Sus scrofa: one gene and its partners. Each later gene encodes a partner of the first gene's protein in a complex. Links are inferred from orthologs where the notes say so. Each region holds a gene or a part of one and is shown in the gene's direction. Other genes may lie near its edges.

Region 1 (4,084 bases):
GGTTCCCAGGCTAGGGGTTGAATTGGAGCTGTAGCCACCGGCCTACGCCAGAGCCACAGCAACATGGGATCCGAGCCGCGTCTGCAACCTACACCACAGCTCACGGCAACGCCGGATCGTTAACCCACTGAGCAAGGGCAGGGACCGAACCCGCAACCTTATGGTTCCTAGTCGGATTCGTTAACCACTGCGCCACGACGGGAACTCCTAGATCGTCTTCTTTAATCATGTTTTCAGAAACCAAATAACCAAGAGTGGTCACCTCTTATTTCTAAACCAGTATAGTAGGATGTTTTATATTTCATTTTTAAACCTGTTTGAAGAATGAAACGTGAAGTTCTGCAGTGACAGAGTGGGTTAAGAATCTGAATGAAGCAGCTCACGTCACTGCTGAGGTGCAGGTTCAATTCCCAGCCTGGTGTATTGGGTTAAAGGATCCATTGTTGCCGCAACTGCAGCAAAGGTTGCAGGTGTGGTTTGGATTCAGTCCCTGGCCTGGGAACATCCATGTGCTGTGGGTGTGGCCAATAAAATTAAAAAAAAAAAAAAAAAAGAATGAGGCATAAGTTCATCCATGTCTAAAATTTAGATTATTGAAATGAATATTGATCTGATAATGTTTTTCTCTGGAAAATGCCTTTGCTTCCTTTGTTATAAAGGCTTTTATTTTAAAATATTATATTGTGAACTTATTCTTTTTGTTTTTAAGAACTTGGCAAGTGGCTTGAACCTCTGAAAAACCTTAGATTTGAAATTAACTGCATCCCAAACCTAATTGAATATGTTAAACAGGTAAGTAAAACTTAAAAGTGCCTTGATTTTTGTAGAACTGTGTGGTAGTACATAGTAATATTGTATTAAGTCACCTGTATAGAAAATGCAGTTAAGGAGTTCCCTTGGTGGCTTAGCAGGTTAAGGATCCGGGGTTGTCACTGCTGTGGCTTGAGTTGTGGCTGTGGCGTGGGTTTGATCCTTGGTCCCAGAATTTCCAATGCCGATGGTGCAGCCAAAAAAAAAAAAAAAAAAAATAGGTAATGCATTTAAGTGCATTTGGTTGATTTAATAGTCTGGTGGGTACAGATTGGTACTGGATATAGATGGGTGTGTAATTGTATATATACATGAGCACAGATGCACATAATCGTACTGCTTTCTACTACCAGATTCCTATTTTTTTCCCTCTCAAATAGAAATAATATTATCTACTGTTTTGATACATTTGTGGAAGTGTTTTAAAGCTAAATGTTATGACAATGTAACATAATTGTTTTAATCTTGGTGAAAAATAATTTCCCTTGAAATTTTTAGATCAAGTTTGATAGTCAATTCCTGATAATTGCAGTGGGGGCTGTTTCTGTTTGTTAATTTGGGATGGTCAAATCTGCGATTGAGATAATTTATAGAAGTTGAAAATCATAAAGTTTATAATATTGCAGTTCAGAAATTCACTTATAATTCATAATGAAAAAGTTCATTGAAGTCATTGAATCATTAGCTTTAGAAGTTTAATGTTTTCTTTGCTCCTTATTTGATCCAATGTGTATCATAGGAAGAAGGGCCTCTAAAGGTGCTTATAGATACATAAAAAGTTTTAAATGAGGGGCAGAATGGACCTTGAATTATCTGCTTTTTCCTTTAACAGATGAGCTTTATGTATTGTATATATGTGTGCGTCTGTGTGTGTGTTTAAACCATTTTGGTCTTGGAGCTATAGTGTATGTGATTGGAGGAATGTGTATTATCTAATCTGTTGCTATTTTTACCCACCAACAAAAGGGCTGTTTGGATTTATCTGCTTCAGATTTCTCTTTTCTTAACTTGTCTGCCCATCTCTTTTTCCTCCATCTCACCTAAGAGTACTTTTGCCTCCTATAGTGCCATCATATTCTTCTGTTCTTTATGCCTCAAATGATATCTAGAGCTTTTCCTTATATTCAGTCTTTTATTTAGCAGAAGTACGTTTAGATGAACAGGTATTTAGGGTATTTGTGCATGGTGAGAATATATAAAATATACAATAAATATTAGATGGCTTAGATAAAAGTTCTAACCAATTAAAAAATTCAGTTCTAGAAATTTGAATTACATGCTGTAATTAAGAGTTTCAATTTTTTTTTTGTTTTTTTTTTTTTTTTTGGTTTTGTCTTTTTGCTATTTCTTGGGCTGCTCCCGCGGCATATGGAGGTTCCCAGGCTAGGGGTCTAATCGGAGCTGTAGCTGCCAGCCTATGCCAGAGCCACAGCAACTCGGGATCCGAGCCGTGTCTGCAACCTACACCACAGCTCATGGCAACGCCGGATCGTTAACCCACTGAGCAAGGGCAGGGACCGAACCCGCAACCTCATGGTTCCTAGTCGGATTCATTAACCACTGCGCCACGATGGGAACTCCTCAATTTTTATATAAATCCTTGTCTAATTAATTATGGTTATTACAAGTGACTTACATTCTAAGATGTACTAAAAACAAGTTGATCTAAGACTGAAATTCTCTCTGTGGCTCCATGCTGCCTTACATAATTTGTGGAATTATTGAAAGGCAGCAAGAAGAAATTAGAAGAAGAGATAACCAAAGGTGGGAAGCGTATGAAGGAAATAATTTTCTTATTTTTAGATTTCTCCTTTGAGTTTGAGAAGCTGAAATAGGAACTTTTGTTTTTGTCCTTTTGCCACACCCTTGGCATGTAGAAGTTCCTAGGCCAGGGATAGAACCCTTGCCACAGCAGTGACAATGCTGGATCCTTAACCAGCTAGGCCACCAGGGGCCTCCCTGAAATAGTAACTTTTTTCCCCTTCATTTCTTTTTTATTATTTTTTTTAATTATAGTTATTTACAATGTTGTGCCACTTTCAGCTGTACAACAAAGTGTGTATCAGTCATATATATATTTTTTTCTCGTACTATCTTCCATCATGTTGAAACAGTAACATTTTAAAATGCTATTTCTAAATTTTTGTAACCATCTATATGCTACTCCATGGAAACCACAAAAATAAAGGAACTTAAGCATAAGTATTTGTTACTTGGAGACATAGCATGGGCAGGTTCTGAGGATATAGGCAACTATACTTCTTTTTCCTTTAGCCATGCCCAAAATGGCCATCATAACTAGATTCCTTTGGTATCTGCATTTTTCGAAATTACGTTATATAGAGTTAAAACATTCCCTGATGCTTCCTCAGTTTTGAAAGAAATTTAGTACTCACAAGGCTTTGTAAAATCAAGTCATTGCTTCATTTTTGGGAAAGAGGATGTGTAGAAAGGGTATCTAAAAAGAAGCTATTTTAAATTCTTAACACACAAAGTTTCATAGATACCTGTATGCAACTTTGTTTTAGTCAATACTTTTTAATAAACTCACCTTTGTAGTTATTCATTTTATATACATAATATCATATATGGTACATATATGCCAAAGATCAGATAACCTTTATAAAGCTTATTAGCCTTCTTCATGTTTTAAATTTATTTAAGAAGTTTAACATGATGTGAATACTTGAAATTCTTTTTTTTTTTTTTAATGGCCACACCTGTGCCACATAGGAAGTTCCTGGGCTAAGGGTTGAATCCGAGCTGCAGCTACTGGCCACAGCCACAGTCACAGCAACGCCAGATCCGAGCTGCCTCTCCAACCTACACTGCAGCTCACATCAACACCACAGATCTTTTAAGCCACTGAGCAAGGCCAGGGATCAAACCCACATCCTCATGGATACCAGTTGGGTTCTTAACCCACTGAGCCACAATGAGAACTCCTAAAATTCATATTTTTAAATAATTGCCTTCTCTGGGTCTGTTAGGTACCAAGAAGTTAAATTTCCTGTTCATTTTTATTTTTAAAGAATATTGATAACTTGATGACCCCAGAAGGAGTTGGCCTTACCACTGCCTTACGTGTTCTCTGTAATGTGGCATGCCCACCACCCCCTGTTGAAGGTAATGTGGCTACTATACTTTAAAACTGCTAATTTTTAAACATAGTATTAATATCATTTATTAAATAAAACATTCAAAAATCTTAACCAGTGATTATTAACATGTAAGTAATTAAATTTTTTTTCTCCCTTATTTATATAAAGGTCAA
Region 2 (4,184 bases), on another chromosome or scaffold:
AGAACTCTTGAAATTCTTTCCTATAGCTTCATCTACTGAAGTCCCTGCTGTCACTTCAATTGTGAAGCTTTATACCACATAATTTCCAATGTCTTTCCTGAATCACCTAGGTTTAGAATCTTCCCTTCTTTGCAATCACATTTGTTTTTTAAGCCTATGTTTATGCTGCCTTATGCTGTAAAGTTGGTTCAATATTAATAAATGGGTCCTAGCTCTTTTACATGACCAGAAACTCTGAAAACAAGGGGCAGGCCTTTTTAAGTTGTTCTGACAGTGTTTTGCATCTGGTTAGAACTGATAAATCAGTAGTTCCCGGAGTTCCCGTCGTGGCGCAGTGGTTAAGGAATCTGACTAGGAACCATGAGGTTGCGGGTTCGATCCCTGCCCTTGTTCAGTGTGTTAACGATCTAGCGTTGCCGTGAGCTGTGGTGTAGATTGCAGACGCGGCTCAGATCCCGCGTTGCTGTGGCTCTAGCGTAGGCCGGGGGTTGCAGCTCCAATTCGACCCCTAGCTTGGGAACCTCCATATGCCGCGGGAGCGGCCCAAAGAAATAGCAAAAAGACAAATAAATAAATAAATAAAAATTAAAAAAAAAAATCAGTAGTTCCCAAATGCTTCTGTTCAGAGGATGCAATGGGAACAAAGTTTGTAAGTTTACCACACACAGAAGTACACTTTGGCTCAGTTAATTTTCACAAAGAATGTATTTATGCAATCCCAGAATAAGAAACACAGCACAACCAGAACCTCAAGAAGCCCCTTAGTGCCGCTTCTGAGGATTCTATTTTGTTTGTTTTTGTTTGTTCTTTTGGCATGTGGAAGTCCCCTGGCCAGGGATCAAACCTGAGTCACAACAGCAACCAGAGTGGCTGCAGTGACAATGCAGGATCCTTAACCTGCTGTACCAGAAGTGAACTCCTGAGGACTCTGTTTTAATGTATCAGACATGACACTTGTAGATTTGATATAAGTAAGAATATGTATTTGTAGACTCCGTATATTATCTCTGTTCATCAGTCCTCCTCTGTCAAAGAAGCATACATAACAGCTATATTTTTGTAAACAAATGCATGGAAACATGAACCTACACCTTCAGTGGAAAAGGCATGTTAGTATCAAACTGTCAAAAGAAATCAGTGATCCTTCATTTAAAAATATCTGGGTGTTCCCCTTATGGCTCAGCATTAAAGAGCCTGACTAGAATCCATGAGGACTGGTGTACCATCCCTTGGCCTCCCTCAGTGTTGGGGTTAAGTATCCCATGTTGCTGTGAGCTGTTGGTGTAAGTCACAACACAGCTCGAGTTCCTGCATTGCTGCAGCTCTGATTTGACCTCTTGCCTGAGAACTTCCGCATGCTTCAGGTGAGGCCCTAAAAAAGCAAAAAAAAAAAAAAAAAATCTGTGAATTCACCTGGTGGCCTAATGGTTAAGGAATTAGTGTTGTCTGCTGTGGTTCGGGTTTGATCCCTGTCCGGGAACTTCCGCATGTCCGAGGCGAGGCTACACTCGCACCAGCACCCCTACCTTGGGTGCTTTAACAAGAGTCAACTATCAGGACGCATTTCCTAATAATCAACATGGCCGCATGCGCGGCTATAAGCAAGATGGCCGCTCTGCCAGGCACCAATATGGCAACCCCAGCTTCACCGCTTCCGGTAGCGCGAAAGACCGTCACTGAAAAACATATCCGCCACTCCGCTAACATTTAAGGTGGCTCCTCATTTCAGTTCCAAAGCGAGAGCGAAACGGGAAATGACTTTCTATCTGGCGCATCTCTCAGGACCTCCTTCCGGTTAGCCTTGGGGAGTACGCGTGAGAGTTGGAAATTTCGTGGAGCCAGTGCTGGGAGGTGCTAGTCGGCTACCCCTTGTTCGAGACGTGTCCCGGCTGTGGGACTAAAATGTCGGACACGTGGAGCTCTATCCAGGCCCACAAAAAGCAGCTGGACTCGCTGAGGGAAAGGCTGCGGCGGAGGCGGAAGCAGGACTCAGGGCACTTGGGTGAGGCGCTGGGCTGTTGGGCTGATGCTTACCCCGGGAGGGAGGGAGGGAACCCAGGAGGGAACCGTGGAGAAAAAGCTCCTGAGTCAGAGCCTTTGCCCAAATGGCCATTTCTTTAATGCTTCATAAGTTGGTACTCTTCTCTTCCCCTTCAGCCGTACAGACGCCTTGCCCTCTGGCAAGTAGTCGCGTTCCTTCCCACCCTGGCCCCTGGTCCCTCCGGTTCACCACTTTCCCGGGACGGAAGCTCCCATTCGTCCCCAACCCTGCCTCTCCACGTCTGGTTGACTCCTCTTGAAAGTCTCCTTTGCTAGGCCTTTCAGGCCCCTTCCCTCGAGCAGCAAGTCCCCTCTTTGGATTATTCCCATGGCTCTTTGTTCGTCCCTCGGTTATAGCAATTGCTTTGTAGTGGTTGTTTCTCTGAGACTGTGGGCAGTGTAAGAGCAAGTACGAATCTGTATACACAGGGACCATCTCATTGGCCCTCACAGAGCTGGCACAGGGTGTTGCTAAGTGAGTAGAGAAACTGGCATTGTCTTAGCCATTTACATATCAAACAATCTGGAAACATTTGTTTTTAAACTTTTTCACCCCTTCCGTTGCCCTCTGTGTCACAGTCATAAAACTTGAAGGAACCTCAAATGATTGTCTTGTCTTTTGCATTCCACATCCCCAGCACAAGCCTTGAATTAGCTAAAGCAAATCAATGGAAGATCTACAAGGATAATGAATCCATACCATTCTTGTAGCTTGTTTCTCTGTCAGTGTACTTGAGTCCATCTCTAAATCTTGTGTTGAAATACGTGAGGTCCACACATTCATTCTGATCTTTGGAAATGGAAAATGCCCTGGCAAGACTCTTACGCCATAATAAATAAACATCTATTGAGTATCTACAATGTACATGAGTCTAGTAAGACAAAAATAAGTAAAACAGTGTCCCTGCCCTCAAGGAATTTAAAATTTAGTTGGGAATAAAGGATTGGTACTTTTATTTATTTATTTTTTGGTCTTTGCCTTTTCTAGGGCTGCTTCCCTCGGCATATGGAGGTTCCCAGGCTAGGGATCCAATCAGAGCTGTAGCCACCAGCCTACACCAGAGCCACAGCAACGCAGGATCTGAGCCGCATCTGCAACCTACACCACAGCTCACGGCAACACCGGATCCTTAACCCACTGAGCAAGGCCAGGGATCGAACCTGCAACCTCATGGTTCCTAGTCGGATTCGTTAACCACTGTGCCACGACGGGAACTCCGGATTGGTACTTTTAAAAGAAAAAGTCAGAAATGCAGTATGATATATGTAAAATGCCAAATGAATGATTCCTCAATGAGTGAAGGAATAAGTAACAGGAGTCAGGTTTAGTCAGTGAGGGCATCGTGGAGGAATTGGCACTTGGACTTTGGTCTTGATGGCTATATAGGACTTAGATAATTAAAGAGAAAATAAAAGGGCAGGGTAAGTAGAGGAAGAAGTGCAAGTTATATGATAAGGATTAATTAGTAGAAGTTCCACTTCACTTTTCCATGGTATTAGCCACACTTTGGAATTAACCAAACATTGTGCCACATGCAGATTAAACCACTAGAGCCTGGATACTTCATCAAGGTCCTTGCTAAGCATTTTTAATAATTTTGATGACAAGATTTATTCTCCCTTGAATGTAAATATTCTTTTTTTGATATAAATAGCTCTTGACCTGTAAATCCACTTAATAATATAGTTAAGACTCCTATAAAATTATTATTATTATTATTATTATTATTATTATTATTATTTGGCCATACCCTTCTGGGCCAGAGATAGAATCTTGAGCTGCAACTGTGACCTGCAACACAGTTGGTGGCAACACCGGGTCCTTAACCCACTATGTTGGGCCAGGGAGGGCACCTGCTCCAGCAACAACCTGAGCCACTGCAGAGACACCACCAGATCCTTAACTAGCTGCACCATGGTGGGTACTCCAAGACTCTTATAAAATTATTTTTGAAATTGTGATTAAACATGCATTGTCTTCTGGCCCAGAGCTTTCACTGGTCTATTTGATTCTGAGAGAGTAGGTAGAGATGAAACCCAGATTAAACCAGCCTGTCACTGTTCTCTTCAATTATCTTGTTTAGTCCAAGGAATATATTTCTTTAAGGGTTAGGATTCTTAGGAAAGCATCATGAAACATAGTC
Region 3 (4,184 bases), on another chromosome or scaffold:
GCCCTGGCCTGGGGTCACAATTGTGCAATTTCTAAATTCAGTTTGCCTACATGAAGTGCCTCTCAGCCTGCTGTGGCATCCACTGATGCTTGTCAACAGCAGGACTGCATTTTCCGCCCTTGCAGCAACATGTCTGAGGAAAGCAAAAAGTTTGAGCCATTTCTCAGGCCAGGTCTTCCAGATTTAGACGAAGTAGATGAGCTGTTAAATCTAACAAGCATAGAGCATCCTGAGGCCCTGAAAGGTGCCAAGGAAGGTCCATGGCTGGAGCCAGAACTCCTACGAGGTGGAGCTGTCTCAGCACCCTAGGTCTGTGTTCCATATCCTCCAGACCACACCAAACGGAAAACAGGCCAATTAACTGCTACCCTCGGGCTGAGCTACAAGTGTCTCTGTCTAGGAAGGGGTTAACTCCTGGAAGCAGATTTCAGAAATGTTACAGGTGTTTCTTCGGAAACATTAACTCTTGGACCTGCCTCAGTTGCTCCGGGAGTTGCTTTCTCTGTGGGAGGAGGGAAGAACCGTGGTGCGTTTTGCTCACTCCATAGTTTCTGTGGCTGAAGTTGGGTCAGGTTCTGCGAACCCTCCAGCAACCCTGCAGAATGAACGCTTCCCCAAGGGGCTTGGATGCTGAGCAGGATTCTCCCTCCCCTCTCCTCGGGAACATATTCCCAGTCATCTCGCCATCTTGGAAGTGGATAGGAGGACGCTGGCCAGTGAAAGGTAAGCATGGCAAGCTGGGTAAGCCCTGGGTTTATTCTCCGCCATTGTTTCCGTGGCCCTGCCCTTACAGCTCTCTTTCTGCTCGAACGCTCAGGGCAGAGGGTGGGGCCCCATGGCACCAAGGAGCCTGGTGCCACTCGGGAAACCGCCGGCATGTCTCAGCTTTCCGTGCCTAGGGCTTCTGCATGCGTGGCCATGCTCCTCATATGGCCTTTCAGAGGCCTGCTGTAGGTGTGCCTGAACGCAGGGGATGCTCAAGATATGGGGCGTGGGTCCTAGGGGGCGGCATGCTTTGGTCCTCAGGGTTGTCCATCCCGGACGACGGTCAGGAGACTCGGGCGAGGTATGGGAGTCACGCAAACCTAGTCTTGGAATTGGGAATATCACGTAAAGAGGCCGCTACTCCCGCTTCCATCCGGCTACCCTGGCCGCCCAGCCCGGAGCCAGAGGCCTAGGTGCAGCAGTGCTCTCGACACGACTATGATTTCCATAGAACTCCGGCCACGCGGTGGCGCCAGAGCTCACTGCCTAGACAAGCTCGCTGGCTTGCAACGGGGATCACGTGGCACGGGGCGGCGCATCCCAATGACGCACACCCGGCGCAGCTCTTGCCCCGCCCGCCTCAGAGTCACGTGGTGCGGGCGGCGCAGCCAGATAACGCGACACCCGGCCCCTGGGCGCCGCTCCCGCCCCGCCCCGCCGCCACCGCCGCGCCGAGTCCTTTTGTCCAAGATGGCGGCGCCGGGGGCGCTGCCTCCTCGGCCGCCGCCGCCGCCGCCGCCGCTGTGAGAGGCCCGCGGGCCGCCCGCCCGCCCGCCGCGCCGGCGCCATGAAGAGGCAGAGCGAGCGAGACTCGAGCCCAGGCGGGCGCGGCTCGTCATCATCGGCCAAGCGACCGCGGGAGCGCGAACGGGAGGCAGAGGCGGGCGGGCGGCGGGCGGCGCACAAGGCCTCGGGCGGCACCAAGCACCCCGTTCCAACGCGGGCCCGCGAGAAACCCCGCGGTAGCGGGGGCGGCGGGGGTGGGCATCGCGACGGCCGCGGCGCCGGGGACGCGAATCATCGTGCGAGCAGCGGCCGCGCCTCGGGTTCGGGCGCCGGCGGCGGGGGACGCGGCGGCAAGGCCTCGGGGGATCCGGGCGCTTCAGGCGCTTCGCCCCGCGCGTCTCCGCTGCCGCCACCTCCCCCGCCGCCCGGGTCCGAGCCCGCGGGTCCCGGCTCTTCCGCGGCCGCACCCGAGTATAAGACGCTGCTCATCAGCAGCTTGAGTCCCGCGCTGCCCGCCGAGCATCTCGAGGACCGGCTCTTCCACCAGTTCAAGCGCTTCGGCGAGATCAGCCTGCGCTTGTCGCACACGCCTGAGCTGGGCCGCGTGGCCTACGTGAACTTCCGGCACCCACAGGACGCACGCGAGGCCCGACAGCACGCCCTGGCCCGCCAGCTGCTGCTCTACGACCGTCCGCTCAAGGTGGAACCCGTGTACCTGCGCGGCGGCGGCGGCGGCGGCGGGAGCAGCCGAAGAAGCAGCAGCAGTAGCGCCGCCGCCTCCACACCGCCCCCGGGGCCGCCCGCGCCGGCCGATCCACTCGGCTACCTCCCGCTGCACGGCGGCTACCAGTACAAGCAGCGTTCGCTGTCACCGGTTGCTGCCCCGCCACTGCGAGAGCCCCGCGCCCGCCACGCCGCCGCAGCCTTTGCCCTGGATGCTGCCGCCGCCGCCGCCGTAGGACTATCCCGGGAGCGGGCCCTGGACTACTACGGGTTGTATGACGACCGCGGACGCCCCTACGGCTACCCGGCCGTGTGCGAGGAGGACCTGATGCCTGAGGACGACCAGCGGGCCACGCGAAACCTCTTCATCGGTAACCTGGACCACAGCGTGTCAGAGGTGGAGCTGAGACGGGCTTTCGAAAAGTATGGCATCATTGAGGAGGTGGTCATCAAGAGACCCGCCCGTGGTCAGGGCGGTGCGTATGCCTTTCTCAAGTTCCAGAACCTGGATATGGCCCATAGAGCTAAGGTGGCCATGTCAGGTCGGGTGATCGGCCGCAACCCCATTAAGATAGGCTACGGCAAGGCGAACCCCACTACTCGCCTCTGGGTGGGTGGCCTGGGACCCAACACCTCACTGGCGGCTCTGGCCCGGGAGTTTGACCGCTTTGGGAGCATACGGACCATTGATCACGTCAAAGGAGATAGCTTTGCTTACATCCAGTACGAGAGCTTGGACGCAGCGCAGGCCGCCTGTGCTAAAATGAGGGGCTTTCCCTTGGGTGGTCCAGACCGCAGGCTGCGGGTGGATTTTGCCAAAGCAGAGGAGACTCGGTATCCCCAGCAGTACCAGCCCTCACCCCTCCCTGTGCATTACGAACTTCTCCCTGATGGATATACCCGTCATCGAAACCTGGATGCCGACCTGCGGGTGCGGGATAGGACCCCCCCACACCTCCTGTACTCGGACCGAGACCGGACCTTCTTGGAAGGGGACTGGACCAGCCCCAGTAAAAGTTCTGACCGCCGGAACAGCCTGGAAGGGTACAGCCGCTCAGTGCGCAGCCGGAGTGGCGAACGCTGGGGAGGAGATGGTGACCGGGGCCTGCCCAAGCCCTGGGAGGAGAGGCGGAAACGGAGAAGCCTTTCCAGTGATCGAGGGAGGACCACCCACTCCCCTTATGAGGAACGGAGCAGGACCAAGGGTGGTGGGCAGCAGGCTGACCGAGGCTCTGACCGTACCCCTGAGCGCAGCCGCAAGGAAAATCACTCCAGTGAAGGGACCAAGGAATTGAGCGGCAACTCCCTCAGCAACAGCAGACATGGGGCTGAGGAGCGGAGCCACCACCACCACCATGAGGCTCCAGACTCTTCCCACGGGAAGAAGACACGAGAGAGCGAGCGCAATCATCGGACCACTGAGGCTGAAACCAAGCCTCTGGAAGAGCCAAAACATGAGACCAAAAAGCTCAAGAATCTTTCAGAGTATGCCCAGACACTGCAGCTGGGTTGGAATGGGCTTCTAGTGTTGAAAAACAGCTGCTTCCCGACATCTATGCACATCCTAGAGGGGGACCAGGGGGTTATCAGCGGTCTCCTCAAAGACCACACTTCTGGGAGTAAGCTGACCCAGCTGAAGATTGCCCAGCGCCTTCGACTGGACCAGCCCAAGCTCGATGAGGTCACACGACGCATCAAGCAGGGGAGCCCCAATGGCTACGCAGTGCTCCTAGCCACCCAGGCGACCCCCAGTGGGCCTGGCACTGAGGGGATGCCCACAGTGGAGCCAGGCCTACAGAGGCGGCTTCTCAGGAACCTGGTCTCCTACTTGAAACAGAAGCAGGCTGCAGGGGTGATCAGCCTGCCAGTAGGTGGGTCCAAAGGCAGAGACAGCACAGGCATGCTCTATGCCTTCCCGCCTTGCGACTTTTCACAGCAGTACCTCCAGTCAGCACTGAGGACATTGGGCA

What was found.
Region 2: KIAA1429 (region 1) and METTL3 share a complex: the UniProt entries of both Homo sapiens proteins name them as parts of the WMM complex. The link is inferred for Sus scrofa from reciprocal best matches to the Homo sapiens genes VIRMA and METTL3.
Region 3: KIAA1429 (region 1) and RBM15B share a complex: the UniProt entries of both Homo sapiens proteins name them as parts of the WMM complex. The link is inferred for Sus scrofa from reciprocal best matches to the Homo sapiens genes VIRMA and RBM15B.

Annotation. Positions count from the first base shown.
Region 1 is NC_010446.5:42,200,056-42,204,139, forward strand, and holds part of KIAA1429 (protein virilizer homolog), read left to right. Parts: intron 1-709; coding exon 710-792; intron 793-3,842; coding exon 3,843-3,936; intron 3,937-4,079; coding exon 4,080-4,084. UniProt on the Homo sapiens protein: Associated component of the WMM complex, a complex that mediates N6-methyladenosine (m6A) methylation of RNAs, a modification that plays a role in the efficiency of mRNA splicing and RNA processing.
Region 2 is NC_010449.5:77,660,271-77,664,454, forward strand, and holds the start of METTL3 (N6-adenosine-methyltransferase 70 kDa subunit), read left to right. Parts: upstream 1-1,674; 5' UTR 1,675-1,902; coding exon 1,903-2,002; intron 2,003-4,184. UniProt on the Homo sapiens protein: The METTL3-METTL14 heterodimer forms a N6-methyltransferase complex that methylates adenosine residues at the N(6) position of some RNAs and regulates various processes such as the circadian clock, differentiation of embryonic and hematopoietic stem cells, cortical neurogenesis, response to DNA damage, differentiation of T-cells and primary miRNA processing.
Region 3 is NC_010455.5:33,662,920-33,667,103, forward strand, and holds the start of RBM15B (putative RNA-binding protein 15B), read left to right. Parts: upstream 1-1,467; 5' UTR 1,468-1,552; coding exon 1,553-4,184. UniProt on the Homo sapiens protein: RNA-binding protein that acts as a key regulator of N6-methyladenosine (m6A) methylation of RNAs, thereby regulating different processes, such as alternative splicing of mRNAs and X chromosome inactivation mediated by Xist RNA.